2 linked regions of the Mus musculus genome follow. The protein of the gene in region 1 binds, or shares a complex with, the protein of each later gene. Links are inferred from orthologs where the notes say so. Each region holds a gene or a part of one and is shown on either strand. Other genes may lie near its edges.

Region 1 (4,220 bases):
GCCAGGAAGAACCAGTCATCCCATCTCATCTCATCTGCTCCCCCCGCCCCCCGCCCCTGTAACCCATGGCCCTCAGGGAGAACAGCAGCAACATCCTGGACAACCTGCTGTCACGCATGGAACAGTACGCCAACAACCTGGAGGAACTGGTAGAGGAGAGAACACAGGCTTATCTGGAGGAGAAGCGCAAAGCTGAGGCCCTGCTTTACCAGATTCTGCCTCAGTGAGTTCTAAACTCTGCACGCGCGCGCGCGCGCGCGCGCGCACACACACACACACACACACACACACACACACACACACAAACGTATAGCCCTGTCCCCATCCCATCTCACCTCTTGGTCTCTACCTGCCCTCTCCCCTCAGCTCTGTGGCTGAGCAGCTGAAGAGAGGCGAGACAGTCCAGGCTGAGGCATTTGATAGTGTTACTATCTATTTCAGTGATATCGTGGGCTTTACAGCTCTTTCAGCAGAGAGCACACCCATGCAGGTAAGCCGGGGTTCAGCCACAGGCAACAGGCCAGGTAGGTCAGCTTGGCCACCTGGTTAGTACTCTCCACTTGTCCCTGGTGGGAGCCCTCATTCACCATTTCTCTTGGCTTCCTTTGCCTTCCAGGTGGTCACCCTGCTCAATGATCTGTACACCTGTTTTGATGCTGTCATAGACAACTTTGATGTGTACAAGGTGAGGTTATGAGTAGAGACAAGAAAGACAGGCAGACATGGACAGTCAGAAAATGTTCAGAGGGATCCTCTGAAACAAACAAAACAAAACAAAAAAGGCCAGGCATGGTGGTGCACACCTTTAATCCTACCACTTGAAGATAGATGCAGGGAAATCTATGAGTTTGAGGCCAGCCTGAGCAAGTTTCAGGACAGGACCCCATAGCTACACTCAAAGAAACTCTGTCTTGAAAAAACAAAGGAGAAGAAGGAAGAGGAGGAGGAGGAGAAAACAAAGACCAAGAACATGGGCAGAAACACACAGGGGTGGGGGGAACCCAGGAACAGACAGAGAAACGGGCTGAGGCTGAGTACATTGACAGGCCAGTTGATAGGCACAGAATGTAGGCGGGTAACGCAGGCAAAGCTTGTCCTTTATTCTCCCCCGCCCCACAGGTAGAGACCATTGGTGATGCTTACATGGTGGTATCAGGGCTCCCAGTGAGGAATGGACAGCTCCATGCCCGAGAGGTAGCCCGAATGGCACTTGCACTGCTCGATGCTGTACGCTCCTTCCGCATCCGCCATAGGCCCCAGGAACAGCTGCGCTTGCGCATTGGAATTCACACAGGTCTGACCACGGAAGGCCTCCGGAGGCTGAAACTCAGAAACAAGTCCGAGACTAAACCTTTATCCCCTGTCTCTCTCCACACACCCTGGGACCACATATCCCAACTCCTACCTCTTCTGGGGTGCTCACCTCCTCTGACTTCCCTGGACTCTGTTCCTTTCTTTTCCCCTCCCAGGTCCCGTGTGTGCTGGTGTGGTAGGGCTAAAGATGCCCCGATACTGCCTCTTTGGAGACACAGTCAACACAGCTTCAAGAATGGAGTCTAATGGGGAAGGTAGGATGGCCCTCCTGAGGGAATGAGAAGGGTGACTACTTAGTACATCCGGCTGCTTCTATCTACCTAGTTCCTCAGCTAGCTCCTGCCTTCTCTCTGCCTGCCCTCATTTCCCTATACATGTATCTACCACATTGTAAATCAAGACAATTGGTGTGTGTGTGTGACACATGGGGTTGAAAACGCACTAAGCCCACCTTAGCCCCAAAGCTTAGTTAGCTACAGAAGTGTTCTCAAAGCATTTTCTTTAGCTTACATCTGAGCAAAGCACTCTAACACAATTTTTTTAAGAGACTTTAACAAGTGGCCTAACACTGAGGTATGTGATATAAGATATTTATATTCTTTATTTTAATGTGGATCTCATTAAGCAACTCAAGCTGGCCTTGAACTTATAATTTTCCTGATGTTGTCTCCAAGTACCTGGGATAACAGGCCTAAGCTACCAGCTTGGGAAACAAAGTCTATTTAATAATAATAATAATATTATTATTATTATTAATTGTTTGTTTAATGTACTCATGCACCCACAAAGATAGGTGTTTTGCTGGTGAGGTGGCTCACTGGATTAAGGTGCTTGCTGGCCAAGCCTGGTGACCTGAGATTGACCCCTGAGACCCATACGGTTCCAGGGGAGATTGGATTCCACAAGTTGTCCTCTGACTTCAACACATACCCACATGAATGTATGTACACATACAAAAATGGATAAACATTACTTTAAATTTTATTTTTAAAAACTTTAGCATGCACATTTTTAGTCTCAGCACTAAGGAGGCAGAGGCAGGTATATTTCAAAGTTCGAAACCAGCCTGGTCTACAGAGTGAGTTCCAGGACAGCAAGAGCTATATAATGATACCCTGTCTTGTGAAACAAAACAAAAAACAAATGATCCCCCCAAGTCTGAAAATGTCCTCCCCCACTCACAATAAATAAGTAATGGTAATAAAAAATTTTTTTTAATTATGAGAGAAGGGGCTGAAGAGATGGCTCAGTGGTTAAGAGCACTGACTGCTCTTCCATAGGTCCTGAGTTCAATTTCCATCAACCACATGGTGGTTCACAACCATCTGTAATGGGATCTGATGCCCTCTTCTGGGTTGTCTGAAGACAGCTACAGTGAACTCACATAAAATAAATAAATCTTTTTAAAAAATAATAAGAATACAATATAAAATGCCAAGCATGTAACTAACTGTCATTTATCATTTCTGGGCCTCAGCTCCTCCATACAACAGTAACCCTGTTTCAGAATTGTAAAAGATCTAGCACAATTCTTTGGGTAGGCAGTAGGCATCTAATAAATGCTTGTTTCCACCCCTCCCTTGATCTTGCCCCCTGTTTCCTCTATTTTTGTGTATGTGGTTCTCTCTCTCTCTCTCTCTCTCTCTCTCTCTCTCTCTCTCTCTGTCTGTCTCTTGTTTTGCTTGTAAAACAACCAGCAAGGTTGGGTGTGGTGGCGCAAGCCTTTAATCCAAACCAAAAACAAGCAGCAAGAAGCCCTGGCTGTCCTGGACTTGATTTGTAGACCAGTCTGGTCTCAAACTCACAGAGATCTGCCTGCCTCTGCCTCCTGAGTGCTAGGATTGACCACCTTTGTCACCACCACCACCACCACCACCACCACCCCACACACACACACACACACACACACACACACACACACACACACACACACACACACACACCGGTGGAGACAGACAGGCTGACCTGTCTTTTCACTCTAACTGCCCAAGTGCTAGAATTATAGACAGCTCCCTGCTATATTTGATACATTCAGTAAAGTCAATAGTTACTAAGCAGCTACCGAGTATCAGGCTGAGAAGGCCATATGACCCTCACCAGAGCCTGTTGGTAAGAAGCCAGCCCTAAAAGCCCAAAGAAGTGCGGTTCAGCTGATATCCTTTGCACCTATGTTTGGGGCTGACTGGTAGGAAAGAACGTCTCTCAGAGATGAGTCTTCACAGAATACCTTCTCAAAAGTGGGTCAGCAATAAGGGATACCACGAAGACACAGGTCAGAGTGAGAGTGGCTTTAGTGGGAACAACGGGTCCTCAATGGGACAGCTTGGGCAGACCTGCCCTAGATTTCAATTCTTCAGCCATAACAAGAGAATACTGATCCACGCAGATGGTACATTCCTGTAATCCCAGCACTTGGGAGGCTGGGGCACTAGGATTCCAAGTTTCAGGTTAGCCTTGGCCAGATGAAACTGTTTCACAAAAAGGTGTGTGTGCTGGTAAGGTGGAGTGTCTAGAGAGATGGCTCACTGCGTAAAATGCTATTCAAGGATGAGGACTTGCATTTGACTCTCCAGTTGGGCATAGAGCCATGTAACCCCAGTGCTGCAGGGAGGGACATGCAGAGAACAGGTCTGCAGGCAGATTCCTGGAGTTCACCGGCTAGTCAAGGCTAGCCCAAACAGGGAGTTCCATAGTAAGCCCAGGCTCAGCGAGAGCCAGGGTCTAACAGTAAACTGGAAAGTGACGGAAAGACACTCAAAATTCACAACTCTGCCTCCAGGCATGTACACATGCATACATGCATGCATACTAACACACACGCACACAGTAGAGGCAACTAACTGATCCCAACAACTTACATAGTGTTTCCTGTGTGCCACTCTGCATTTAGTACTTTGTGAGTGCTT
Region 2 (4,562 bases), on another chromosome or scaffold:
AGGCTGAGAATCATTGCTAGAAGTGAGGTCTCTCACTGAACCTGAAGTTATTTTTTGTTTGTTTGTTTGTTTGGGCGGGCTAGGCTGGCAGGCAGCAAGTTCCAGAGAGTCTCATGTCTTCGTCTCCCAGCATTGCATGCTGTGCCAGCATCCCTGCCTGGGTCTATGAATGATGCCGAGGACTCGGCCTCAGGTCCTCCTGCTTGGGAGATCAAGCATACACCCAGCCCTACCTATTGCTTTTCTTTTTATCATTCCTAAAGCTAAGGCTGGCTGGCTTCTGGACATCTCAGGAAGGTACCCCAAAGCAGAGCAGGACTAGAGATATGGAGAGAAACTTCACATTGGGTTGCCTTCCGATTGGTGCTCAAATCAAAGGCTTCTAGAGGACTGGGCTGAGTGGGTGATGGGCTCCACCACTTGTCAGACACAGTATTATACACTGTGTTGGACATGGCGGCACTGAGGTACGGAGAGCATGCAGAGCATCACAGCAGAGCATCTTTTGCCCCTGCCCCTCAAGGAAACCCTGAGGTCACAGAGTCTCAGTGGATGACATTCACGTCCCCTCCAGTTCCACCCTGGAAAGTTGACTCTAGCCAAAAAAAGATGGGCAAACCTTGAAATTGCACTCCTGGGGCACTGGTCAGGATCATAGCTCTCCTAGGGCCACATAGAGACTTCAGATGTGGCTCAGAACAGAAAAGCAACAGCACTTGTCTGAGGCCACCCGCCTCAGCCGTTCTTCAAGTCTTTGCCCAACTCAAAGACCATCTCCAGGAGGTAGGTCATGTGACACACACAGCAAGGAGCCCGAGTTCCCCCAGTAGGGCTGCTCGCCTAGTCCTCTCTGCTAATAATAATCCCCAGGCACACAATTAAGCAGTGAGCGCATCCCAGGGACTCATCCGGAGGCGACAGTGTGAACTTGCACAGATTTCAGACTTCAAGGAGAGATTGGCCAACCCAAATTGGTTGCCTACAACCCCCAGCTTTCTCAAAGGGCTCTCTTTTTCTATCTTAGAGAAAACATCACCGCAGACACCTCTTGTGACTTCCAGCCACATGACAACTCCACCAGGCAGCCACAGGGTCAATGGGCGTGGAAGTCTTCCAATAGCCCATTAAGACGGTCAGAAAGCAGAGAGCAGCAGAAAATGCACACACTTATCACACACACAAAGCATACATATGTCGAAAATGGCTACACTGGGGTGTGGAGACCACTTGTTAAAGGTGGACTGCCTGCTCATGCTCCTGAGGCTGCCAGAAGAATTCATGGCTCACTTCCTTGGTCTCAAAGGTCATGAAGGACATTATGGAGAATGGTGTATGTGTCCCCCCCTCAATCCCTTACCTCCTCCTTCTATTTCCCTGGGAAGGGTGGGACCACCACATATTTCATGCTCAGAGTCTGGGCTTTGGAAAGAAGAAAAGTGGTTTCATCCTCCAAACCCATCCTGTTGGCACCTTGGACACGAGTCTTGGGAGGCAGTAAAAATAAACTTTAGAGGAAATATGCTCTTCTAACATCCCTTGGTGTTTACACGTGTAGCTGAATTCTTTAGAGCCTGTATCATGTTGGCTTCCTGGCTGACTTCATACTCTAAAAAAAAAATAATAGCTCTTTCACCTGACTGCTAACAGGGACATCTAGGGTGGGGGTGGGCTGTCTGGGGCCAGAGGTCCACCCACGAGGCCGATGAATCAGGTGTGAAGCTAGCTCCAGCATGTGTACTCCCTGGCCAGCCTAGCTGGCCTCCCAGCTGCCTGTCATTGCCTCCTCTCCCGCCCTTATTTGGAGCCCCTGACAGCTGAGCAGCAAGCAGGGGGAGCTGGGTGCAGGCCAGCCGTCACCCTCTGCTTCCCTGCATGGGTCCTGTTGCCAGGGAGAAAGAATCCTGAGGCGAGCGCCCAGGAAGATAACCAAGGACTCTTTTCTGCTCCTCTCACACCTTTGAAGTGGGGGCCTCTTGAGGCAAATCAGCAAGAATGTGACTCTTGCAGCTGAGGGTCTGGGGGAGGGGGGTGAGTGGAGCTGCTCAAGGCAAAGGGGCCGTGACAAGCTTTGCCGAACTGATAACTTTAAAAGGGCATCTTCTGCTGGCTCCTCACTCCATCGCTTTATCGCTGCAAGTGACAGAATGGGGAGGGTTCTAGCCCCCCTGCCTTCTCAAAGAGCTGGGGGGCTATAAAAACGGGAGATGCTGGCAGCTAGGAGACAGTGACGGACAAAAGCTGAGAGAGAGAGAGAAAGAAACCAGAGTGGGCAGAGACAGCAAACATCAGATCGTGCCCCGACCCACGCCAGCATGGGCTCCTTCTCCATCACCCTGGGCTTCTTCCTCGTCTTGGCCTTTTGGCTTCCAGGCCATATTGGAGCAAATCCTGTGTACAGTGCGGTGTCCAACACAGATCTGATGGATTTCAAGGTAGGGCCAGGAAGTGGGACACAGACTGGGACCAGGGTCTCTTTGGTACTGGGTCCATTCCTGAGACGTCCCCTTTCTCTGTATTTATTTTGCCTTTATAAAGAACCTGCTAGACCACCTGGAGGAGAAGATGCCGGTAGAAGATGAGGTCATGCCCCCGCAGGCCCTGAGTGAGCAGACTGAGGAAGCAGGGGCCGCACTTAGCTCCCTCCCCGAGGTGCCTCCCTGGACTGGGGAGGTCAACCCACCTCTGAGAGACGGCAGTGCTCTAGGGCGCAGCCCCTGGGACCCCTCCGATAGATCTGCCCTCTTGAAAAGCAAACTGAGGGCTCTGCTCGCTGGCCCTCGGAGCCTACGAAGATCCAGCTGCTTCGGGGGTAGGATTGACAGGATTGGAGCCCAGAGTGGACTAGGCTGCAACAGCTTCCGGGTAAGAGGAGCTGTGGATGGAAATGGGATAGAGGTCAGGTGGGGTCTTGTTAGGGCTCAAACCTTGCCAAGGGACACTACCAGGGAGCATCTTTGGCAGCTGAGAGCCTGATGCATGTATCATTTTCTCTGTGAGTTCTTCCTCACTACGATGGGTGTCCCTTGAGTTTCAAGACAATGACAACAGCTGCTGCAGGGTCTGAGCCACAAGCACTGGGGAGTTAGAATACAGGGCCAAGACTGCCTCATTAATGCTTACCAGTGCCTTGCTTGCCGGTTTAATCACAGAGGCTAGACTGTGGCTTGTGGGAAATAGTTGATCGCTGTTCAAGTGGAACAATTTAGCCCAGTAAAGGCAGATCATCAAGCCAGTATATTTTTCTCTTTGTAGTACCGAAGATAACAGCCAAGGAGGAAAAGGCAGTCGATTCTGCTTGAGCAGATCGCAAAAGATCCTAAGCCCTTGTGGTGTGTCACGCAGCTTGGTCACATTGCCACTGTGGCGTGGTGAACACCCTCCTGGAGCTGCGGCTTCCTGCCTTCATCTATCACGATCGATGTTAAATGTAGATGAGTGGTCTAGTGGGGTCTTGCCTCTCCCACTCTGCATATTAAGGTAGATCCTCACCCTTTTCAGAAAGCAGTTGGAAAAAAAAAAAAAGAATAAACTTCAGCACCAAGGACAGACGCCGAGGCCCTGATGTGCTTCTTTGGCTTCTGCCCTCAGTTCTTTGCTCTCCCCAGCCTTGATCCCTCATTTCTCCCTCCTTCCCTCCCTCTTCTTGCTGTGTGTGTGTGTGTGGGGGGGGAGCCTCACGTCATAGTCCTCAAAATGCTCTGCCTCCATCACAGAACCCGGGAAAGTCCACCCAGGCTGAAAAGGGCATTTATTTTTAATTCATGAAAAGGGAACACGAACACACCTTTTCCTGAGGACAGGTAATGACATCTCTGCTCAGAAGTTTCAAGCATTCCTTTCTGGTTAGAGCCTGGGTGGCTTTAAGGGGCATTTAGAGAACCAGAAACTGCCCAGATCTGTTACAGAGTGCCAGCTGCTGTGACCATGTGAATTTCACTCTCTGAGTATGGGCAAGTGTGAATGGAGGGTGGGTTAAGCAGCTGAGAGGAGGAAGGTTTACAGGCTGATGGGTGGCCAGTTCAAACGATTTGTGGGCTACCCCACTGCTGCGTCACCACCTATCCACGTGTATCACTCGGTGCTGGAGATCAAACTCAGGGAGCCAGAGGCATTTGAAAATAGCCACAATCTCCCTAACACAGGACTGTGGAGCTTCAACTTGTACGTTGCGTGGAGGAGAGAACCACCAGGAAACATGCAGTACCTTATTTACTTTTAGTTTATGTAGCTTTGGCTGGCCTCAGACTCTAGGAGACCTGCCTTGCTACATTACCAAGTCTGGCTAAGGTGCAGTGTTTTTATACCAGCTTGTGAAAGGCACTGCTCTAAGCAGAGAACACATTCAGGGCTCATAGTGAACACTGCTTCTTCTCTGAGATCACTCAGGTCATCTTATAGCTCCAATAGGATATGGTTTGCTAACCCCCCTGTGTGCTTGTGTGTGTCTGTGTGTGCGCACGCATGTGCGTGTGCCTGTGTACTTGTGTCCCTAACCTGTACTGGGCATGTTATATAAAAATGGGGAGGATAACCCGAGTAGTATCGTGCACACCTGTTGAGGG

The links. Proteins that work in one complex are often made in the same cells at the same time.
Region 2: the proteins of Npr1 (region 1) and Nppa are in contact, whole or in part, in a crystal structure (PDB 7BRG), measured with the Rattus norvegicus proteins. The link is inferred for Mus musculus from reciprocal best matches to the Homo sapiens genes NPR1 and NPPA. Residues at the interface, in NP_036745.1 of Rattus norvegicus: Asp90, Val115, Tyr116, Ala119, Pro120, Arg123, Ala139, Leu140, Gly141, Ile142, Val144, Tyr148, Tyr182, Asp184, Leu186, Gly187, Asp188, Asp189, Arg190, Phe193, Phe194, Val196, Glu197, Tyr200, Met201, Arg204, His213, Gln214, Glu215, Phe216; in NP_036744.1 of Rattus norvegicus: Arg126, Ser127, Ser128, Cys129, Phe130, Gly131, Gly132, Arg133, Ile134, Asp135, Arg136, Ile137, Gly138, Ala139, Gln140, Ser141, Gly142, Leu143, Gly144, Cys145, Asn146, Ser147, Phe148, Arg149, Tyr150.

What each region holds. Positions count from the first base shown.
Region 1 is NC_000069.6:90,452,166-90,456,385, reverse strand, and holds part of Npr1 (atrial natriuretic peptide receptor 1 precursor), read left to right. Parts: intron 1-76; coding exon 77-223; intron 224-366; coding exon 367-490; intron 491-616; coding exon 617-685; intron 686-1,119; coding exon 1,120-1,294; intron 1,295-1,469; coding exon 1,470-1,568; intron 1,569-4,220. UniProt on the Homo sapiens protein: Receptor for the atrial natriuretic peptide NPPA/ANP and the brain natriuretic peptide NPPB/BNP which are potent vasoactive hormones playing a key role in cardiovascular homeostasis.
Region 2 is NC_000070.6:147,998,523-148,003,084, forward strand, and holds Nppa (natriuretic peptides A preproprotein), read left to right. Parts: upstream 1-2,199; 5' UTR 2,200-2,312; coding exon 2,313-2,432; intron 2,433-2,535; coding exon 2,536-2,862; intron 2,863-3,252; coding exon 3,253-3,264; 3' UTR 3,265-3,552; downstream 3,553-4,562.